Linked DNA regions of Macaca mulatta. The protein of the gene in region 3 purifies or fractionates together with the protein of the main gene of each other region. This does not show direct contact. Links are inferred from orthologs where the notes say so. Each region holds a gene or a part of one and is shown on either strand. Other genes may lie near its edges.

Region 1 (4,022 bases), on a different chromosome or scaffold from region 3:
TGGACTCAGGCAATCCTCCTGCCACAGCATCCCGACTAGCTGGGACCATAAGCGCACACCACCAAGTTTGGCTAAATTTTTTTGGGTTTTTTTTTTTGAGAAATTATGGTCTCACTATGTTGCCTAGGCTGGTCTTGAACTCCTGATCTCAAGTAATCCTTCTGTCTGGGCCTCCCAAAGTGCTAGGATTATAGGTGTGAGCCACCACATCCTGCCCTGGAGGGTTTTTTGTTGTTGTTTTTGTTTTAGGTTCCTCTGTTAACTGTGATCCACAGCCAGAACCACCCTCTGGAGGAAGGGAGGTCATCACTTCCCTTCTTTCAACTATTTGTTCAGCTTGGGCCTCAAATTCTCGCTTTTCCAGCACATCTCATGAGCCCTAACAGACAGGAACCCCTCTGTTTCCCAGATCTCAAGTCCCCCCTGGAAGTCATACAACTGGACTTGGAAAGAGAGCAAGTAGGATCCTCTTCAAACTCAGCCAAAGTTAGCTGGCTGGGTTCTCTGTACCATCTACCTCTCCTGCCAGGAGGAGGAAAGCTAGTGGGATGGGAAACCCAGACTCAGGGCCATCTCCTACTTCCCCACAGCTAGCAGCCCAGGCCTAACCAGCCAGCCAGCTTGGCCTTGCCACAAGCCCAAGGCCACCCCCCACCAAACATGTGGAATCCATTCTCTTAGGGGCTGTCTCAAGGGCACATTTCCTATGACTTTTTGCATGCCAAGGAAACTGGAGCGGCTTGTCTGTTCCAGGTCCTTCCAAGGCCAAAGGCCCACAGATGGTGCCCAGGCCAGGTCTCAGTGGGCAGGCCCAAGGGCTACAATGACTGATGCAGGGAGCCCTCAGCAACACCCTGGGCCCATGAATCCCCAAGGGGGAGAGTAGGGTGGGAAAGATGAGCCCCAGCTGGAGTCCCTGGGACCAGGTCTGTCTCTGCCCATATCCAGACTCTGTTTTCTCTTGAGAAAGGAGGAAGAATGAGGAGGAAGAAGGGAAAAAAATCCAGTCACTGTCCCTAGTTAAGCCATCTCCTTAGATGTGAGGCCCAGTGGGGCAGGTAGGCTGTGTATACTCCACGAGGATCCCTAAGGACCTCCGCCTGGAGACAGGAGTCGAAAACAGAGGAAGCCCACAGCAGACCCTGGGAGAAGCCAGTGTCAAATGCTGGGGCATATGGCTTCGGATGTGGCGGAGTTAGAACCTGAAGGCCAAATAAAAATGCAGAGAGGATGATAAGGCAGATGGGCACAGTTTCCAAGCCTGCTGGTGCAACCTGAACAGCAGACTAGGGGACCAGCAGGGTCAGGCTGAGGTTCTCACACACTGAGCAGAAGTCGCTGCCTTCCAAGGGCTTTTGAAGCTGAAACCTGAGCAGCTCTCAAAACCCCAAAGGGGTCAGGACAGCACTCTTTGAAGCAACTCTCGCAGACTCCTCGGGCCCCAGACCAGCAGGGTTCCACTCTGCACGTCCAGACTAATCAACTACCCGACACGATGACAGGAGGCAGAAAGCCCAGAAGAGAGCCGGCCTGTGACTAGGCTGGGCCTCCCCTCAAGCCTGGCCACCACCGTCTCTGGTCTAAGCTGGAGTCCTCCCCAGCGAAGGCGCCTGGCCCTGCCTCTGGAGTAAAGTCCGCCCGTGCACAAGCTGGAATGAATCCCCTGGCCCTAGCCTCAGCGTCCCGTGCCCGTGGGAAGCCAGGCTCCTTCCTCCTCATTAGCAGCCGGGAGCCATCTCAGACACGCTAGAGCTCGGCCAGTTCGCAACCAGAAAAAACAGGGCAGACTTGGAGTGGGACCAAGGCCGATGCAGGGTAACCCCGGTTTCTCAGCGAGGGCCCTTTCCCAAACTTTCTCATCACTTTCTAGCCCTCCTACCCTAGACTTCTCAACCCACCCGCCCACAATTCACTGGTTCCCCAAACTCCTCCATCTCCCAGTCACTCGGAATCTCTGTGCCGCGGAAGCCCCCAGGCCTCCCAGCTGGTTCCAGCCCTCCGCTGCAGGACTCGCTCCCCCTTCCCCACTCCTCCACCGCCACCCGCCGCAGCCCGAGGGATCTGGCCCGCCCTCCACCGTCTCCCAAAGTTCCTCATGCATTCCCCAAGGCCCTCACTCGAGGCCCCCTCAGCCCCCGGCCCGGGCGCCCTCGCGGCGCCGCACGCCCCCGTCCGCTCGCGTCCTCCCTACTCACCTGGTACTGCGCCGCGGGGCCCGCGGGGCCCATGGGGCGGAAGGCGGCGGCCCCGGGGCCCCCCACGCCTCCAGCCGGACCCGGTCCCCGGAGCGCCGGTCCGGGCAGCATGCCGGGTCCGGCGGGGGGAGGAGGCGCTCCCAGGGCCGCGGCCACGGCGCCGCCGCCAGGGCTTAGCGGGGGCAGCGGGAACCCGCCCGCGCCTCGGCCCGACATCGCTCCGTCCCGTCCCGCGGTGCCGCGATCCGGACTCCGGGCTACGCGTCGAGTCCACTCCGCGCTCTGTACTCCGCGATCCGGGACTTGGCGATCTTAATTCCGGGTTCCGGGATTTGTCGATCCGGGCTCCGGGATTTCCTAATCCAAGTTCGCGAGTTCCTCACAGACCCGGTTCGGGACAGATTCCGCTCCTGCGCCGGAGATTCCGGATCCAGGATCTGCTGTGGGCCCGCCTGCCGCCCCCGGACTCCGGAGGTTTGGCCGCCCGAGTCGAGTTACCCAGAGGCGGCTACGAACTCCCTGCCCCGCCCAACCCAGCCCAGCACTAGGCCCCGCCTCTACCTGGTGCCCAATGCTCGAGTGCCTCCTTGAATCCCGCCCCTCGCGAGACCCGCCCCCAGCAGGCACCGCCCCTAACCGCCGACCTCAGAGTCCCACCCCCCACCTTTGGCCCCGCCCTTCATCGGAGGGGCGGGAGCGGAAGCTGCGCGCGGAAGCGCCGAGTGAGGCGCGGGGTCAGAGGTCTAAGGTCACGTTGAGGCTTCACAGTGAATGAGCAGTTGCTACTACTCTTTCCCGGTGTAGCAGCCTCACCGAAAATAGTTTTGTCAAGTCTCCTTTCTGCATCTTCCACATTAAAGACCCAACTCAGAGTCGGTAGCGGTGGCTCACGCCTGTAATCCCAGCACTTTGGGAGGTTGAGGCGGGTGGACCACCTGAGGTCAGAAGTTCGAGACCAGCCTGGCCAACATGGTGAAAACCCCGTCTCTACTAAAAATACAAAAATTAGCCGAGAGTGGTGGCTGGCGCCTGTAATCCCAGCTACTCGGGAGGCTGAGGCAGGAGAATCGCTTGAACCCGGGAGACAGAGGTTGCAATGAGCCGAGATCTCTCCACTCCACTCCAACCTGGGCGGCAAGAGTGAAACTCCTCAAAAAAAGAAAAAAGACTCAGCTGCTCTCTGGGGCAGAACAGCAGCCAACTCAACTTCCTGTAAAAGCTCATCCTGGTAGCTCGGAACTGCCAAGGGACCTAGGAGGCTCCAGACTTGACCCAGCTGGTGAATGGTCGACTTGGCCAAGGCTGAGCTCTTACAGCACATTTTTAACGTGGCTCTGCCTCACTATAAGGAAGCCTGGTACTTTACTCCCCAGCAAATGCTTCTAGTCAAAAGAAATTTGGCTTATGAGAAACCTCCCCGCAGTTTAAAAAGAGGTCTTTCTCTAGTATTTATAGCACTTAATTTTCAAAAATGCAGTATCTTTTCAGATACACTGTGCTGTATCAAAGTATTCAAAAATGCTTCAGCTGTCCCTTTGATGGTCTGGGTCTCCTCACCGTGATACGGCCCAGTGCTGCTTAAACCCTAATGAGCACATAAAAAACACCCGAGGCTCTTATTAAAAATGCAGATTGTGGCAGGGCCCAGGACTCTACATTTCTAACAAGCTGCCAGCGATGCTGTTGCTTCTTAGACCATACTGTCAAGAAGCCAGGATCTAGACTTTTTTTTTTTTTTCTTTACTATAATTGGTTTATTTTTCAGCCCCCACCAAGTAATGCTTCCTTTCTTGCATCATAGCACCCCAGATATTTTTTATAGTTTTC
Region 2 (4,130 bases), on a different chromosome or scaffold from region 3:
GGGAACAGCAGGCAGGGCTTTGGGTGACGCATGCCTCTGGTCTAATAAACTGGGTTTCAACCATCTCCTCTTCAGTGTTGTTCACTTATTTGAAAACATATTTAGGTATTCTCACTAAGTGCCTAGAGCTGAGCTTGGTTTTGGGGCCAAACAATTAGGGGATGAGTAAGGAGAAGGTTTGAGTAGGGAGACTGTGGTCCTCCTGGGATGGGACGGCTGACCATCGTATCAGGAATAGTTTGAACCACTGGGCAGGGAAAGAGGGAGGAGTCAAAGGCAACAAAGGTCCAAAACAGAATCCCCATCACAAACAATGCTTTAGAGAGAGAGCAGAGTCAAAATTCAAGATAAACTGGAACTTATTATAAAATCTGAAAGCAGGCTGGCACGGTGGCTCACGCCTGTAATCCCAACACTTTGGGAGGCTGAGACGGGCGGATCACTTGAGGCCAGGAGTTCGAGACCAGCCTACGCAACATAATGAAACCCCCATCCCTATTTTTTAATATTAAAAAAAAATCTGAGGCCAGGCACAATGGCTCACACCTGTAATCCCAGCATTTTGGGAGGCTGAGGCGCGCAGACCACTTGAGCTTAGGAGTTTGAAACCAACATGGGCAACATGGTGAAACCCTGTCTCTACCAAAAATACAAAACAGCCTGGCATGGTGGTGCATGCCTGTGATCCCAGCTACTCGGGAGGCTGAGGTGGGAGGATCACTTGAGCCTGGGAGGCGGAGGTTGCAGTGAGCTGAGATGGTGCCACTGTGACAAAGAGAGACCTCATGTCGAAAAAATAATAATAATAATAATCCGGAAGCAGGTTAGGTCGGAGACAAAGTTAGGTTGAAGTTCCCACGTGAGGTAGTTATTGAGGCACTTTATCTGTGGAATGAGTCCTGGGCTATGAGCAAGAAGACCTGGAATCTTGGCTTCGGCTTTATGACTAACTTGCTGGTTGACCTTTGCCAAGTCGTTCACCTGTGAGTTCAGCTTTCCTATTTGGAAAATGGAATAAACTGTGTTTCCCTCCTCAGCCCCTGATAGTTATAGCAGTAAGAAAATGAAACGAAAAGCAATCAAAGCGTTTTGGGAAGTTAATGCCATGCGCCAAGATGAAGCTATTACTCCAAGCACCTCATCATCAGCGGGCTGGAGTCGGGGTTGAGACTGGGGCTGAGGCTGTGGTCCGTCCCCCTTTCCAGGTCCTTGTCTACCTCCCGTCGGCCTGGGGGCGCCCGCTCACGGGGCCTCTCTATCCCAGAGTTCTTCTCTATGGTTTTCCCTCCAGGACCGTGAAGGCGGGAGGGCGTGGCCAGCACGCCTTTTCCGCTACTCGCTCCTCTCTAGGCGACAGTCTCGCTGCCCTGAGCCTCCCGTGCCGGCCAGCCGGCCGGGGGAACAGGCGGGCGCTCGGGGGGCGCTCAGGGGGCGGGGGGAGTTCCGGTTCCGGTTCTTTGTGCAGCTGCATCGGCGGCTCCGGGAAGATGGCGGCCCGGGCGGGTTTCCAGTCTGTGGCTCCGAGCGGCGGCGCCGGAGCCTCGGGAGGGGCGGGCGCGGCTGCTGCCCTGGGCCCGGGCGGAACTCCGGGGCCTCCCGTGCGAATGGGCCCGGCTCCGGGTCAAGGGCTGTACCGCTCCCCGATGCCCGGAGCGGCCTATCCGGTGAGTGGGGCAGGAGGAGGGACGCGCGGGCCGGGGGCGGGGCCGAGCGGGGACGTGGGAGTGACAGGGGTGGGGGGAGAAGTAGGAGGGACTCCCTTGGGAGGGGTTCGGGCTCTGGGTGGGGGTTGGGGGAGGCAGTGCGCAGGAAGAGAGGGGGAGGCAGTTGGCGTCCACACCTGCTCCTAGGGGCATTGTTTCCGTGGGGAGTCGGTAGAGAACCAGGGTGGGTGAAGTGGGTCCAGGGATACCTGTACGAGGGCCGGAGTGCAGAGGGGCTTGAGCAGCTCCATTGATCAAAGGAACACAGAACGTGTAGTTGACAAATTGAGGTCAGCTTCTAAAGAGATAGTAGCTAGCAGAGTAAATGTGGAACTGGCGATGTCCGATGTGTCCGATCCAAAATAGACCGATAATTTGAGTATAATCTGGCTCTCGCTTAGCTTTTGGACTCTTTATTTTTCTGTGGAGTCACTGCTGGAGCAGAGGGTTCTCGTCTCATTGTCCTCCATTCCATCCGTAAACCTTACTTCATTCAAAGAACTCAGGCGTTCCCTGCTTTTCTTTCTTGGTGGGGTTTAGCAGGTGAAACCATGACATCTCTGGGTCCTCTCCCCTCTGTAGAGACCAGGTATGTTGCCAGGCAGCCGAATGACACCTCAGGGACCTTCCATGGGACCCCCTGGCTATGGGGGGAACCCTTCAGTCCGACCTGGCCTGGCCCAGTCAGGGATGGATCAGTCCCGCAAGAGACCTGCCCCTCAGCAGATCCAGCAGGTCCAGCAGCAGGCTGTCCAAAATCGAAACCACAAGTAAGATGATCCTGGGGCAGAGGGAGGGAGGGAGGGAGCCTGGGAGTACACAGGTGGTGGGATTACCTGAACCAAGAAGTGGTGGTGCTGTGTCAGCAGATGGTGCTACAGGATGATTGAGAATGCTTGGTGGTGGTGGTGGTGGTGGTGGTGGTGGTGGTGGTAGTTCTTTGATTTGAGAGAAGCTTTGCAATCCCTTCACATTACTATAAATGGACATGCTGACAGCTTATTTTCACGTTCTGACTAGTTCTGTCCCAACCTGATAATAGTGTTTATTCCCAACAGTGCAAAGAAAAAGAAGATGGCTGACAAAATTCTACCTCAAAGGGTGAGTCCAGGCTGTTTTCTGGAAAGTGTGGTAGGTTTGAGTATAGAGATGAATCATCCTAGATTTCAATTAATTTTTCTGTTCCTAAGATTCGTGAACTGGTACCAGAATCCCAGGCCTATATGGATCTCTTGGCTTTTGAAAGGAAACTGGACCAGACTATCATGAGGAAACGACTAGATATCCAAGAGGCCTTGAAACGTCCCATCAAGGTAACACAGGAAGTTACTAAGCAGAGAGCCAAAGGAGAGGACCCAGGAACCTTCAGCAGGCTTAGGATGAGAAATCAAAGGCACAGCACAACTCTCCTTGGCATTTAAATTGTATCTTTCCCTTCCGCCTACAAACTGAGAATTACATTAGGAGGATAAGAACAGAATGGCAAAGGGGGAGGGGCTCTTGATGTCTCTTGCACTACAAATATACCCTTGTCCATGTTTTTGCTGTAACTGCTCTGCTACCTTGGGAACCTGGCACCTTGCATGACTTTGTCCACCTGGCATCCCACTGTATGCACTTGTACTTAGGCTGATGGCCAGTACTCCTCTTCTAAATGGAATCTTCATCCACCCACCCAAGGGACTGGGTAGACAGTAAGCCAGTCTGTTAGGAATAATTTTGGGGTTTGGGGAGACTCTTGTCTTCAACATTAGACCACTGAAGCCCCACGATCAATCCTGTTTCTGCCTTCCTCAGCAAAAACGGAAGCTGCGAATTTTCATTTCTAACACTTTCAATCCGGCTAAGTCAGATGCCGAGGATGGGGAAGGGACGGTGGCTTCCTGGGAGCTTCGGGTAGAAGGACGGCTCCTGGAGGATGTGAGTTCAAGGTCCACAGTGGTTGGCATCTAGGGTGGGAGCTGCTGGGAATGAACAGTGTTGTCTGGTCAGCAGGAAGCCTAACTGGTGCTCACAGCTCCTTTTGGGAGCAGTAGGGAGAGGGACACTGTTCCCTGCACTGAAAGACAATGGTCCTTTGTGTTTGCCCCCACACCTTTGGCCTTCACTGGTATCATATGGAGAACCTTATTGTCCTGGGATCTGATTTGTGATTTACCTTCCTCTTGGTGCTGCTGGCCATTGGATTTAGCCGTATCTGTAGATTATTTAGTTTTTGTTTTGTTTTGTTTTTAGTCGAGTTTGCACTTAATTTGAGGCCGTGTTTCCTCTCTGAGTTCTTGTGGTATCTCCATCTTCTCAACTTTCATTGGAGGCACCCCATAGTTTTAAGTAGGATAGATTTCTCTTGACAGGCTCTTTGTTGCTTCCTGGGGAGCATCAGCTGACAGGTGATAGCCCCCAAACTTCCCAACCCAGAAGCTCCTC
Region 3 (3,500 bases):
ACATGTGAAAAAACTTGATTCAAAAGTTACACTGAGAATTAATCACCTTTACTACTTTATCCATAAAAATGATTACAAATTCCAGAGATGGCAAGGGACTGATTTGGTTTGCTAAACAATTATGTCTGTTTTATAAACTCTACTACTTTCCATTGTAAGGAATGCTTCAAAAAGCATAAGCTGGGCTGGATATAGTGGCTTACGCCTGTAATCCCAGCACTCTGGGAGGCTGAGGTGGGCGGATCACCTGAGGTCAGGAGTTTGAGACCAGGTTGACCAATATAATAAACCCCGTCTCTACTAAAAGTACAAAAATTAGCTGGGTGTGGTGGCACATGACTGTAATCCCAGCTACTCAGGAGGCTGACAGGAGAATCGCTTGAACCTGGGAAGCAGAGGTTGCAGTGAGCCAAGATCGCAACACTGCACTCCAGCCTATGCAACAAGAGTGCAATTCTGTCGGAAAAAAACAAAACAAAACAAAACAAACCATAAGCTGAAAAGCTTTGACACTTAAATGTTTTCTATCATAGCCATTCAAAACCTGCCATAAAAACACTGATTTCAGAGAAAAGTGTCAAAAGAGAACAAGTTTTCAAGCTTAAATAAATTATATCAATCTTTTATTAATTATATATTCACTTATTAAAACTTTATCTCTAGTGGAAATAAAGGTTTTTTTGACAATACAAGCCTATAGATAAACAAAACAGAAATTTCTCTTAGGATTCCTGATGTCTAACAAAATAGCATTTAACTATAACATACTTTAACAAAAATTAAGCTTTCTTTCACCCTCTCTTACCATTGAAGATATTTGGAAGGTATTTCTCTTAAGTCAACGAATTGACCTGATTTAGCTGTATTACATCTGTTTTCATGCAAATGCAATCAAACCAGAATACTGTATTTATTCAAAGTATAAATACTAAGTAGTCACAAAATGAAAAGACCGTTTGGGAAGGGCAAGAAAGTTCCTTTATGAAAGAAAAAAACCCATGGAATATTTCTAAAGTCACATCTAGAATTTGGAAATCAGAATTTAACATTTTTAGAAAAATACCTGACTCCCAATATCTGACTGAGTTTCAACATATACGCTGAGGGGGCAAGAGAATTTCAGTCTGACCTTATTTCTAAGATTTGCTATCACAGGTAGACAGAGATGTCCACAGCAATGGCAGAGCTTAAGTCAATGACTAAAAATAATAAGATATTACCTATGTGAAAAAAGAGACCCTGGTTAGGAAGAGGTGGATTCAGTATTCGTAAGCAGCTACTTTCCTTTAAAAAGAGTTATATCTAAAATGGTTATAGTAGCCTGAGAGTTAAGGCTGAAATATTAGGTCCTCATCATTCCCCACTCCCTAAGTTAGTCAGATATCCAGGTAGTAGGTATTGTAAGTGAGTATATAATAGGAAAATATTGCTACACTTCCCCCAAATTCTGTATGATACATAGCTGCAATAATACATCCCGATGGATATGTATATTGCTATTTAACTAGGGAATGTCAAAAACATTTTCATTATGCATTCTGAATAGATCTCATTTTTACTCAAAAAAAAAAAAATCAGTATATCTTTAAAAAAACTGTATTGGCCATTAGTTTTTAAAAATAAATTTGCTAAGCAGATTATATACATATGGTCAATAATTATCCAATCATCAGTTTTCCAAGCACACACAAGGCTAGGCATGACAAATAGGTCTGATAATTCATTTTTCATGTCTTTTAAATGACTCCACACCTTACCTTTAGTCAATGAACCATCTCCAATTTGTAGTTCTTTTTAAATGGATTACTAGCTTATCTAAGAGCAACATTTTAAACCAACATTTTAATAGTAGACTAGGCTAAAACTGAATTTTCAAGTGATAATTCTTGGAAAAATAAGTATTAAACATCCACTTCCATATTTTAAAACAATCAGCACCACATTGTTTTCGTGATAAAAATAAACTGTACAAAGCTTTACCGTAGCCCTGCTGCTGTCCTGGGTAACCTTGCTGCCCTGGGTACTGCTGCTGCTGGGGTGGATATCCCTGTTGTGGAGGTGGTCCCTGGTATGCATCTTGCTGTTGGCCATACTGTGAATTTCCTACAGGATAATTGGAGAAGAGGAAAAAAAACTGAGAAGTCTGCTTAAGTAACTTTTTTCCCTCTAAGATGCATAGCCAACAACACAAGAACAAAATGAAATGCCATATTGATTTTTAGAAGTTAACAAAACAAAGAAAAAACTCAAACCAAACAGAAGGATTTCGGCCAAACAAACTGCAGTTAAAGCCAATTTTGCAAGGTTGAACTGCAGCATTTTCAGCGTCTCTGCCATACGAGCATTACATTTACTGGAACATCACAGTCATAAGATCATGACTATGCTAAATAAAATAAAAAAGACAAAATTAAAGACAGCTACAAGAGCACACACTAGCTACACGAGATCAGCAAGCTGTTTCCTAAAGGCACTATACTTATATGTAAAATTATACATATGTAAACACACACGAGAAAAAAAAGTTGGATGGATTTATGTTCAAATAGAAAATTTCCACTGAGGAAAAAATTATCTTTAATGTTTTAGTCTTTTTATTAATGTTAGAAATGGCAAGTCATGGTTATACATTTTAAATATTTGTAAGGAAATTATTTTGATTGTTTTGGGCTCCCTGCACCTTTCAAGACAGCCAGCAACTAGTATTCTACAAGAGCTTTGCATGGGTAGAAGTTGTCTTATGCAAGAATTTTCATTCCTGTAGAAGGGGATATATATGTGTATGTGTGTGAAGGTATATAGATACCTCCTTCGTAGTAATGTTGTGAGGAATCCTCATAAGGCCTATCGTAGCCTTGTTCAGGATACGACGGTTGCTGATAACCGTAATCATTATGACCTACATCAATTCGACAAGAGACAGGAAGAAACGTTAATGGCCACTGAGTGAAAACCCTAAAAATATTTAAACTTTCAGATAAAATTGAAAAAAAAGGAAAAGAAATGGAACATAAAAAATAATTTCAATTGCATTAGCCAAAGATTTACCAATGTGATTGTTTTCATATTGAGATAACGTGCAATTTTTTTAAAAGCAAAAAGCAGTAGTTTTAGAAACATTACACTTATTGTCTTAAATCTGATAATCCTCATTGAGGGAAAAAAAAAAACTATCTCCCATTTTAAAAAAAGAGAATAAAAGTATCTAGGTCTTTCACATGTAAATAACCTAAATTAAAGTAGAATGAACAAAGGAAGTAATTATCATATTTTGTCAAACACCTGTTCTGCTGGTCTCCAATTCCACAGCATATGCTAAAAACAATGCAAAATATAAAAGAGCTCCATAAGTTTCTCCCCTGAAAGAAACTGAAAAATTTTCATGTTCTAACATTTACTTGCATAAACTTAAGTATCTCAAAGTATCTTCAGATGCAAAATTATATATCTTAATGCTGCCATTTTGGAAATCTTTAGAAAATATTTCAAGTATCATAAAC
Region 4 (4,024 bases), on a different chromosome or scaffold from region 3:
CTGTAGTCCCAGCACTTTGGGAGGCCGAGGTGGGCGGACCACCTGAAGTCAGGAGTTCGAGGCTGGCAAAACATGGCGAAACCCCATCTCTATTAAAAATATAAAACTAGCCGAGCATGGTGGTTCATGCCTATATTCCCAGCTACCCAGGAGGCTGAGGCAGGAGAACTGCCTGAACCTGGGAGGTGAAGGTTGCAGTGAGCCAAAATTGTGCCATTGCACTCTAGCCTGGGCAAGAGTGAAACTCAAAGGAAAAAAAGAAAAGAAAAGAAAAAAACCCAACCATGTAAAGTGTTTACCAGGGCGCCTGGCACACAGTAAGAGCTCAATAAATACTGTTGTTATTCCTGTTATTATTAATCACCCCTATGACTATCACTATTATTTATTCACTCAACAGATATTTACTGAGCACCTACTCTGTGTCCCATATTATTCTGAGAATACAGTAGTGAACAAGATCACATAGGGCCAAGCACAGTGACTTACGCCTATAATCCCAGCACCGTGGGAGGCTGAGACAGAAGGATCATTTCAGGCCAGGAGTTCGAAACCAACCTTGGCAACATAGCGAGACCCTAACTCTACAAAAAATTTAAAAGTTAGCTGGGTGTGGTGGCACACACCTGTAGTCCCCAGCTACTTGGGAGGCTGGGGCCAGAGGATCCCTTGAGCCCAGGAGTTTGAGGCTGCAGTGAGCTATGATTGCACCAGTGCACTCCAGCCTGGGTGACAGAGAACTTCTCTCTAAAAAAATAAAGGGGGGGGCGGGTATGGGTGTGATGGCTCACACCTGTAATCCCAGCACTTTGGGAGGCTGAAGATGGAGGATCGCTTGAGTGAGTGAGTTTGAGACCAGCCTGGGCAACATGGTGAAACCTTGCCTCTACAAAAAATACAAATGGCATATGCCTGTGGTCCAAGCTACTTGGGAGGCTGAGGCGGGAGGATCGCTTGAGCCCAGGAAGTTCAAGGCTGCAGTGAGCTATGATCACACCACTGCACCACTCCAGCCTAGGTGACACAGTGAGACCCTGTCTCAAAAAAAAAAAAAAAAAAAAAAAAAGGATTAATATGGGCCCAACATTCAGGAAACTGACATGAGAGTGAGGAGAAAGATAGTAAAAAATTAATTTACATGAAAGTCTCAGACAGTGATATGTCATCTATAGATCCTAAGAGACCAGAGGAATGAGACAGCAACTACAGAGACATTCTGCAGGAGTCGGAAGGCACCTTGAGGAAGGTGCACAAGATGGGGAGCAGGTATAGGGATAAGCTGGTAGGTTAGACTCTGGAGAAGACAGGACTTAGAGGAGAGGGCTCCTGGGAGGTACCTGGTCCTACCTCTCTCTTGGCCCAGCCGTGGGGGCTGAGCCTCCTCAGGGACCCCTTCTGGGGGTCCGGCAGGTGACACAGGGCGGCTGGGCTGGGGGGTGCCCCCAGGACTGGGCTCTGTGCCCTTTTGCAGGGAACCTTCCGAATGGAAACTCTGGTTGCTGTTCTCATCTGTGGGAGCAAGAGCCGAGATGGTTGGCCTGAGATCCCTAATACACTCCTTCAGTCCCCACAGCCCTCCGCATTTCAGGATCCCTACCTACCATTGAGATCCAGCAGGATGAGAGGGCCACCCCCTCGGGGACTGGCGCCCCTGCCCCGACGTTCCCGGCCACGGGATCTCTCTGCCCCGCCACCTGCCCGCCTTCGCTCCTGGGGGTTAGAGGATTAGGGTCAGAGCTCTTGGAAAGCCCCACCATACACCTAAGGAAACTGAGGCACTGAGAAGCAAAAGGGCTCGAACTCAGGGTGTGGAACAGAAAAGAGGGAAAAAGGGGAGGAGCTGCTAATGATGGTTCCCATCTGTCTGTCCTGCTGCATCTGAGGTCTCTGGGAGCTGGAGGTAGAGGTCAGGGTGGGGAGGAGCTTGCCTGAGGTTGCACAGATGCAGGGCCTTGTGGGAATGGGGGTTGCTCACCTCCTCCTGGGGGTCCACCACTGGCACCCACTTGAAGATACGAAGGGAAGTGTCGCCCACAGTCACCCATCGCTTCTCCCTGTGGGAGGGTGGGGGACTGGGTCAGAGAGGCCTGAGGGGAGACCCACCCCCCCAGGAGCCGGACACATCTGGGGGTACCTGCAGAGGTTGGGGAGGCACAGGAGGGTAGCAACAGTTTTGCTAATGGGGCATAGTTACATGGAGAAAGAGAGCCCTGCAAACCCCAGGGCACAGGCGGTGGGTGCCTCTAGACAGAGGATATGATTTGGGCCCTGGCTCTGCGGACCCCTGGGGCACACACGGGGGGCGTGGCTATGGGCCTGGCCCGGGATCAGAGACCTGCAGATCTCGGGGCGCACTTGCAGAAGGAGTGTCAAAGCTTTAGGGGGCGGGGCACAAACGGGGGCTCCCACTCTGGGAGAGCACGACTGGGGACCACGCTTTGTAGACCCCCAGGAGTAGCCAGGGGAACGGGGACAGATCCAGGGCAAAGCTAGTGGGCGGGGATACAGCGAACACCGGGGCCCAGAGCTGGCGAGGGCAGCTTAGACGCCTTAGGTGGTGGTGGTCCCGCCGTGTCCCGTCCCTGGCCCCCGGGCAGCGCTCACCATCTCCGGACCTTCTCGATGGTCGCCATCACCTTCTTGATGTCATCCTTGGCCCGGCTCCGGGTCTCGGCCCGTACGGTCCGGCCGGCCATGCTGGCGGGGCTGGGGCCGGAGCCGAGCCCGCGGCGGGGCCGCCTCCCGTCCGGCGGGCTCAGGCTCGGCGCCAGGCCCGGGCGCCGCGCTCTCGGCCTGCCGTCCCCCCGGGAGTTGGCCGCGCCCTCTCTCGTCCCCAACGCCTCCGCGAGTCCCCGCCCCGTTTCCTGCCGCCGTGCCCCGCCCCGGCCCGTCCCCGGAGCGGCCCGGTGGCGCGGGCGGCCAGAGCCCAGGCCTGGAAGCCCGGCCGGCCCCGCCCCGACCCGGGCCCGCCCCCTCGGAGCGCCTGGACGCGCAGCGCCCCCTGCCCGCCGTCGAGAGCGGGAGTTGGGTACTGCTCGGCTGCCGGACGCGCGAGGCAGGGCCGAGGCGGTGCGTTCAGACCACGTGGGCGCGGGGTGCTCGAGAGGGTCTGTGTCCTGGGGTGCGTGCGCCGCGGTGGGTGTCCGCGAAACGCTGTGTGTGGAGTGCGTGCGTGTGTCCGCCCTCGCCAGGCTCTCGGTCTACACCGCCCAACACTCATTCATCCATTCATTCAACAGTCCTGTTAACTGAGCGCCAATTACGCGCCAGGCGCTGCGAATACGAGTAGGTCTCTACCCACCAGAATGGCTAAAGTGAAAAAGACCGCACCATGTGGAGGCGAGAAAGTAGAGCGACTGAACCTCTCTTGTATTTCTGGGGGAGTGTAAATTGGTAGAGACGTTTTGAGAACTGGCAGTTTTCTAGTGAAGCCGAACATATGCCACCTCTGTGATCCAGCAATTCCACTCCTAGGCTGTCAACACCCAGCAGAAATGTGTAGGTGTGAGCACCAAGAGGGTGCTTGGGAACGTTCAGAGCCCTTTCATAACAGCCCCAAACTGGAAATAACCCATCAACAGAATGGAAAATGAATGATGCCCTACTCATTACCATGCACATAGACACAGCAACGGGAGTGACATGCCCGGCTACACCCAGCAACATAGACAAGTCGCATGACGAAATCTTGAGTGACAGAAGCCAAATACAACAGTACATACTAGATGGTTCCAGGTGTATTACGTTCAGAACCAGACAAAACTAATTTAAAGTGCACCAAAGTCAAGATAGTGGTCGCCCTTAGGATTGGGAGGGGATGAGGGGAGAGCTTCTGGGAGCTGATCCAGTTCTGTTGTGTGATCCGGTGCTGGTTCCCTGGGCATATGTACTCTGTGAAAATCCATCACATGACTTAAATAAAATGTGCATTACTTAAAGAAAGTGAGTGTGTCTTGGTTGACTTTATTTGAGGCTGGCTTGTCAGCAGATAAGACCATGTCAAAATTTGTGCTGCTGTGTGTGT
Region 5 (2,227 bases), on a different chromosome or scaffold from region 3:
GGAGGAGGAGGACAGGGAGGAGGACGCCCGGGCCCAGGTGACCGAAGGGGAGCCGCCTGCCCCGCCATGCCGGATCACAAGCTTGGTGGGCAGGTGTGGAGGGGGCTGGGCGGAGGCCCCGGGAGCTGAAGACGACGGGGGGCCGTGGCCGGGGAGCCGATGACCCTCAGAAGAGGCTGCAACGGGGAGGCCGAGCGAGCGGGAGGAAGACACGTACTCGTCTGCAGAATCGGGGCAAAGAAAACCCACGGGGTTAGGTTGAGGCCCCCGCGACCGAGCTGGGAGGAGCTGTGTGCAAAGCACCTACCCCCTGCCAGGCACCAGACCGCACCCTGGACCCTCCAATCCTCAGGACAGGCTGGGTGAGACCCTCTTCAGCAAGGCCCAAATTCCCCCAACTCCAAACCACTGTGTCTGGCACAGCAGCCACGAGCCACGTGGGGCTCATTCAGACTTAACTGAATTAAGAGACTATAAAACAAGGCTCATGCCTGTAATCCCAGCATTTGGGAGGCCAATGCAGGGGGATCGCTTGAGCCCAGGAGTTTGAGACCTTCCTGGGCACAGTAGTGAGACCCCTGTCTCTACAAACAAATAAATAAATAAAATATAAAAGTTCTATTGGACAGCATTGCTCTAATTATATACATAACTTTTTAAAAATGGGGTTAAGAAGTATCTAATTTCAGCCGGGCGCGGTGGCTCACGCCTCTAATCCCAGCACTTTGGGAGGCCGAGGCAGGCGGATCACAAGGTCAGGAGATCGAGACCACAGTGAAACCTCGTCTCTACTAAAAATACAAAAAAAATTAGCCGGGCGCGGTGGCGGGTGCCTGTAGTCCCAGCTTCTCGGGAGGCTGAGGCAGGAGAATGGCATGATCCCAGGAGGCGGAGCTTGCAGTGAGCCAAGATCGCGCCACTCACTCCAGCCTGCGGGACAGAGCGAGACTCCATCTCAAAAAAAAAAAAAAGAAGTATCTAATTTCAAAATCTGGTCTGAAATGACATGAGGTGTTTTTGTTGTTGTTATTGTTGTTGTTTTTGAGACAGAGTCTCATTCTGTTGCCCAGGCTGGAGTGCAGTGGCGTGATCGCAGCTCACTGCAACCTCTGCCTCCTGGGTTCAAGTGATTCTCCTGCCTCAGCCTCCCAAGTAGCTGGGATTATAGGTGCCAGACACCATGCCCAGCTAATTTTTGTATTTTTAGTAGAGACAGGGTTTCACCACATTACCCAGGCTGGTCTCGCATTCCTGACCTCAGGTGATTCGCCAGCCTCAGCCTCCCAAAGTGCTGGGATTACAGGTGTGAGCCACCACACCCGGCTACATGAGGTTATTTATGGTCTTGATTTATCCCAACTACTCTGGATACCCATCGATGTCACTCCAGAAGTGTGTTTGATCATAGAGTGCCTCCCCAAACCCACTGGGGGTAAACCAGAAGACAGCATCTAGGTAGCTCATCGCCTTTCTAAAAGCAAGGATTCCAGAACATATCGGGCCCCAATGGTGTCAGATAAAGGACTGTAAACTGATCATCAAAACCCCCACTTTACAAAATGAGAACACGGAGACACAGAGAAGGTAAGTAACTTGCCCAAGGTCACACAGTCAGTAAGTGGCAGAGCCAGGATTTGAACCAAGAATCCAGCATCGAGCCCCTAACCACCGAACTATCCTTCCTCTCCTACCCTAGAGACTTCAGACTCGCTCCCGGCCCCTCCTTCACTATGGCCCCCCCTTTGCACCCATTTAAGTACCAATGACTACTTTTTCAAAATTCAGGTCCAGAGCTCGAGGTGAAAAGCCTGGGCCTGGCAGCAGAAAGCAGGGACCATGTTTTTTTAATGGAAGCTCTGGAGTTGGAATGCAGGTGAGGGCTAAGGGAATATTCTAAAAACTCTGGCAGCTGGGAACTGCCTGTACCGTTTCCTGCAGACAGGAGACTAGAGTGAGGCCAGCGAGCCGCCTAAGGTGCAACACTTAAGGAGGCACTCACTCTCAGAGTCCCCAAAGGACTGGCACCCAAGAGTGGGCGCTATCTCATATACTTTGCAACCTAGGAGCCTGCTCTCCCATTTTCTGTCCCATGGGGGTAGCAGAATATTCCCCCCATCCTAGGGTGTCGGGGTTCGTGAAAGGGACACACAGGGATGGAGGAAGATGGATGTGGGCTCTCTGGTCTGGGAGGCGGCAGGTCAAGGGAGGCCCAGCCGCAGTAGGAAGG
Region 6 (2,986 bases), on a different chromosome or scaffold from region 3:
GTGCAAAGTATCATAATGACGGCAACTTATTTTCCGATGGTTTATTAAAACAGGGTAAGGATGAAATATTATTGTTGAATCTCAGGTGGAGGGTATATAGGTGTTCACTGAACCAGTCTTTCAATGGAATATTTCTGAAATCTTTCAAAATCAAAAGACATAAATAGCAATATAGATTTTCCAACTAAGAAACAGAATTTAAGGCTGGGCAGGGACTTCATATGGCTTGGCCCATGGCAGCATCTCTTCTGCTGTTTAATAGTTTAAAGTCATAGGTGCAACAGGTGCCCCTGGTGACACAGTTGGACCACACCAAGGAGACTGGCTCTCTCAAGCTCTCTTTTTCCCTATCAAGTGTTCTGTAGCAAGAGCCTGCCCAACCCTCTACAGAAAACTGCCACTTCAGGCACAAGGGTGTCAATCCTCTAGAATTCAAAGAAACAGGCTGCATTTGTCGAGCTAAATTATCTCTTTATTAGGAAAGCACCAACACCACATTCTTCGAAATTACTGGAATTTTATTTGCCTCAGGCTTATGACTTGCAACCAAAGACATTGTGCAAAGAAAGCAAAGATTAAGTACACTTTAGGGAGAAGGAGACGATACACATTGGTAACATAGGAGATCAGGGTGACAAAAGAAGCCATCCAATACACTATATAGATTGCAATATTCAATAGCGCTTTCAACAAAACTTTTTTAAAAATCAAGAGCAAAAAAATTAAGCAATGTTTACAGTAGACATAAATCTTATACAATTCAAAAAGCTTTTGTTCAGATCATAGAGCATAAAATGGAAAAATGTATATGCAGGTGAAATCTAACTACTGTACATTTATCACCTATTAAAGTTGCTTATATGTACCACAGTGTAAAAAAACAATACCGAACAAATAAAAACCTTGAAAATTGCCTGATGAAAAATAAAATAACCAGTGGCTTTTAATGGCTTCTCCTGGTTATCAGTGCTACAAAAGACAAAAATCTTCTCATCTGAACAGGTGATAAAACCAGGCACAATCAAACCGTTACCAAATTAGACCCACCCATAGAAATATACTATCCACCCACATATTTTCCATCAAAAGCTTTTTTGTTTGTTTCAATCTTTGAATCTTTGAGGCCCATTTGGTCACAATATGTTACAAATATTTGTGTATGTGTGTTTTTTTTTTTACACCATGATATCATATGTTTGTCTGGCACTATCCTAAAGCTAGTTTATAGACGATGATGATATAGAAACAACCCAGTGCCTATATGACAAAATGAACTCACTGGGTAGAAATGAGACAGGGGAGGAAGGAATTCAGTTCTACCAAGGAAAAACGTCCATATTGATCACTCATCATCCGTCCCACTTCCTTCTGACTGTTCCTACAAGTAAAAATAAGATAAAATGAAGTAACATCACATGCAAGAAAAAGAATACATAAAACAAAACAAACCATCAAGAGGCCATTAGGAAAAAAATGACATTTTGGAAACAACCCGCCAAATCTCTTTCCGTGGAAGGACAGAAACACATTAAAGAGGCATCGACAGCCTCGAAGCTGAGAAGTTTTTCTTACTGAAAACCCCAAAGCAAAGCCCACCCTCTAAGCTGGTGTTTGTGCCCTTTCACTTCGGCTTGAAAGGTTTATGGCTAATACTTTCTCTTTTTCAGTCCTAGGTTTTAGAAAATTCATGGGAGAAAAAAAATACCCTGCATTTGATATCTCCTAAAGAAAATACAGTATTTTAAATGTATTTGAAAATGTTTGCATCAAGGGTTAAGGCTGGGGTGAGATCATAAGTCTGAAATTTTACCAAAATGGTAATGTGTTGAAGGAAAATCAAACTAGCACATACACAAAAAGGGAAATTTATCTTTCCAGAAAGCAAAGAATGTGGGTGCCAGGAAGCCATCTTCTGGAAAGTGCATGGATGAAATGAAGGGTATTTCAAAAGGCAAGGTATTAGGAGCTTCTGCCCACTCTTCTACCTTGCTGCCCAGTCAGGCATAGCACACTAGACTGAATTATTCTACTTGGGTCCGCATCCCACCTCTGCTACGTGATCTGTAGCAAAACACACATAACCTAACCATTTCTGTAACATGTTTTTTGAGAGTGACATCTATCTCATGATGCTGACATCAGTATTTAATAAGCTACCACACAGTGAGGTACCTATATTACAAGGCCTGGCTCAATAGATGCTCACTGCATTTTTCAAATATTAAAAATAACACCCCTAGGTACTTAAAAAAGTCATTTGACTTTTTACACGGTCCCTTAAGTAGCAACTCGAGCCAGTAACTCTGACGTCATATCACTTTTTCTTATTCTTCTATCTAATCTACTGCTATGTACCTAGGCGCTATGCTGGGTGTGATGGATATAAAATATTAACTGGCTATGGGGAAAACCATATTTATAAGCAAGCATGTGGGAAGATTAAAAAGGGGGAAAAGAGTTTGATTTAGTAGTTTTTCATTTTTGAAGACTATTAAAAAAGCAATAAACAAAGCCCCCAATTCTTTGTTCTAAATCATACAGCTCCATTCACATCCCTCAATAATGAAATCTCACTAAATCCTGACATTTCCACTCCTAGGTAATAAAGTGAAAAGGCTGAAGGGGCATGGAAATGCAAGAGGCCAGCGAGCAGTGGAGAGGGCGCCTCCGCCTTCAGTCCCAGTCAGCTACACTTACACGTTCATCCTGCTCCTCATCGCTGTCAAAATCGCTCACTACAGGTTTGGCTTTTCCTCGATTTGGCCTTTTCTTGCCTTTTCCTTTGTCCCGGCCTTTCTCATCTTTTTTATTGAGCTTAATTTTCACCTTGACTGATTTTGCTAAAACCAAAGCAAATGAAATAGATAGCAATGAGTAATCACAAGGGAGGTATCTGTATAGGTGATAAGACTATCACCAACCTACAGACAACACAAACATCCCGGAGTGCCCAGAACATTCCTGGATTATGCCTGTTCTGTGTGGT

Evidence for each region.
Region 1: the proteins of SS18 (region 3) and SMARCD2 purify together in Homo sapiens (affinity purification with mass spectrometry; 4 studies listed by BioGRID and IntAct, counting the BioPlex papers as one, with this or other methods). This does not show direct contact. The link is inferred for Macaca mulatta from reciprocal best matches to the Homo sapiens genes SS18 and SMARCD2.
Region 2: the proteins of SS18 (region 3) and SMARCD1 purify together in Homo sapiens (affinity purification with mass spectrometry; 5 studies listed by BioGRID and IntAct, counting the BioPlex papers as one, with this or other methods). This does not show direct contact. The link is inferred for Macaca mulatta from reciprocal best matches to the Homo sapiens genes SS18 and SMARCD1.
Region 4: the proteins of SS18 (region 3) and BCL7C purify together in Homo sapiens (affinity purification with mass spectrometry; 3 studies listed by BioGRID and IntAct, counting the BioPlex papers as one, with this or other methods). This does not show direct contact. The link is inferred for Macaca mulatta from reciprocal best matches to the Homo sapiens genes SS18 and BCL7C.
Region 5: the proteins of SS18 (region 3) and BICRA purify together in Homo sapiens (affinity purification with mass spectrometry; 3 studies listed by BioGRID and IntAct, counting the BioPlex papers as one, with this or other methods). This does not show direct contact. The link is inferred for Macaca mulatta from reciprocal best matches to the Homo sapiens genes SS18 and BICRA.
Region 6: the proteins of SS18 (region 3) and SMARCA2 purify together in Homo sapiens (affinity purification with mass spectrometry; 6 studies listed by BioGRID and IntAct, counting the BioPlex papers as one, with this or other methods). This does not show direct contact. The link is inferred for Macaca mulatta from reciprocal best matches to the Homo sapiens genes SS18 and SMARCA2.

The regions. Positions count from the first base shown.
Region 1 is NC_133421.1:73,636,762-73,640,783, forward strand, and holds the start of SMARCD2 (SWI/SNF-related matrix-associated actin-dependent regulator of chromatin subfamily D member 2), read right to left. Parts: upstream 2,801-4,022; 5' UTR 2,412-2,800; coding exon 2,118-2,411; intron 1-2,117. UniProt on the Homo sapiens protein: Involved in transcriptional activation and repression of select genes by chromatin remodeling (alteration of DNA-nucleosome topology).
Region 2 is NC_133416.1:57,257,564-57,261,693, forward strand, and holds the start of SMARCD1 (SWI/SNF-related matrix-associated actin-dependent regulator of chromatin subfamily D member 1), read left to right. Parts: upstream 1-1,330; 5' UTR 1,331-1,487; coding exon 1,488-1,664; intron 1,665-2,285; coding exon 2,286-2,473; intron 2,474-2,761; coding exon 2,762-2,804; intron 2,805-2,893; coding exon 2,894-3,016; intron 3,017-3,500; coding exon 3,501-3,623; intron 3,624-4,130. UniProt on the Homo sapiens protein: Involved in transcriptional activation and repression of select genes by chromatin remodeling (alteration of DNA-nucleosome topology).
Region 3 is NC_133423.1:66,374,457-66,377,956, reverse strand, and holds part of SS18 (protein SSXT), read right to left. Parts: intron 2,900-3,500; coding exon of another isoform or gene 2,807-2,899; intron 2,104-2,806; coding exon 1,981-2,103; intron 1-1,980. UniProt on the Homo sapiens protein: Appears to function synergistically with RBM14 as a transcriptional coactivator. Isoform 1 and isoform 2 function in nuclear receptor coactivation. Isoform 1 and isoform 2 function in general transcriptional coactivation.
Region 4 is NC_133425.1:29,522,544-29,526,567, forward strand, and holds the start of BCL7C (B-cell CLL/lymphoma 7 protein family member C), read right to left. Parts: upstream 2,801-4,024; 5' UTR 2,697-2,800; coding exon 2,605-2,696; intron 2,055-2,604; coding exon 1,976-2,054; intron 1,711-1,975; coding exon 1,602-1,710; intron 1,510-1,601; coding exon 1,348-1,509; intron 761-1,347; exon of another isoform or gene 164-760; intron 1-163. UniProt on the Homo sapiens protein: May play an anti-apoptotic role.
Region 5 is NC_133424.1:60,201,307-60,203,533, reverse strand, and holds part of BICRA (BRD4-interacting chromatin-remodeling complex-associated protein), read right to left. Parts: intron 222-2,227; coding exon 1-221. UniProt on the Homo sapiens protein: Component of SWI/SNF chromatin remodeling subcomplex GBAF that carries out key enzymatic activities, changing chromatin structure by altering DNA-histone contacts within a nucleosome in an ATP-dependent manner.
Region 6 is NC_133420.1:97,273,487-97,276,472, forward strand, and holds the end of SMARCA2 (SWI/SNF-related matrix-associated actin-dependent regulator of chromatin subfamily A member 2), read right to left. Parts: intron 2,841-2,986; coding exon 2,698-2,840; intron 1,379-2,697; coding exon 1,343-1,378; 3' UTR 501-1,342; downstream 1-500. UniProt on the Homo sapiens protein: ATPase involved in transcriptional activation and repression of select genes by chromatin remodeling (alteration of DNA-nucleosome topology).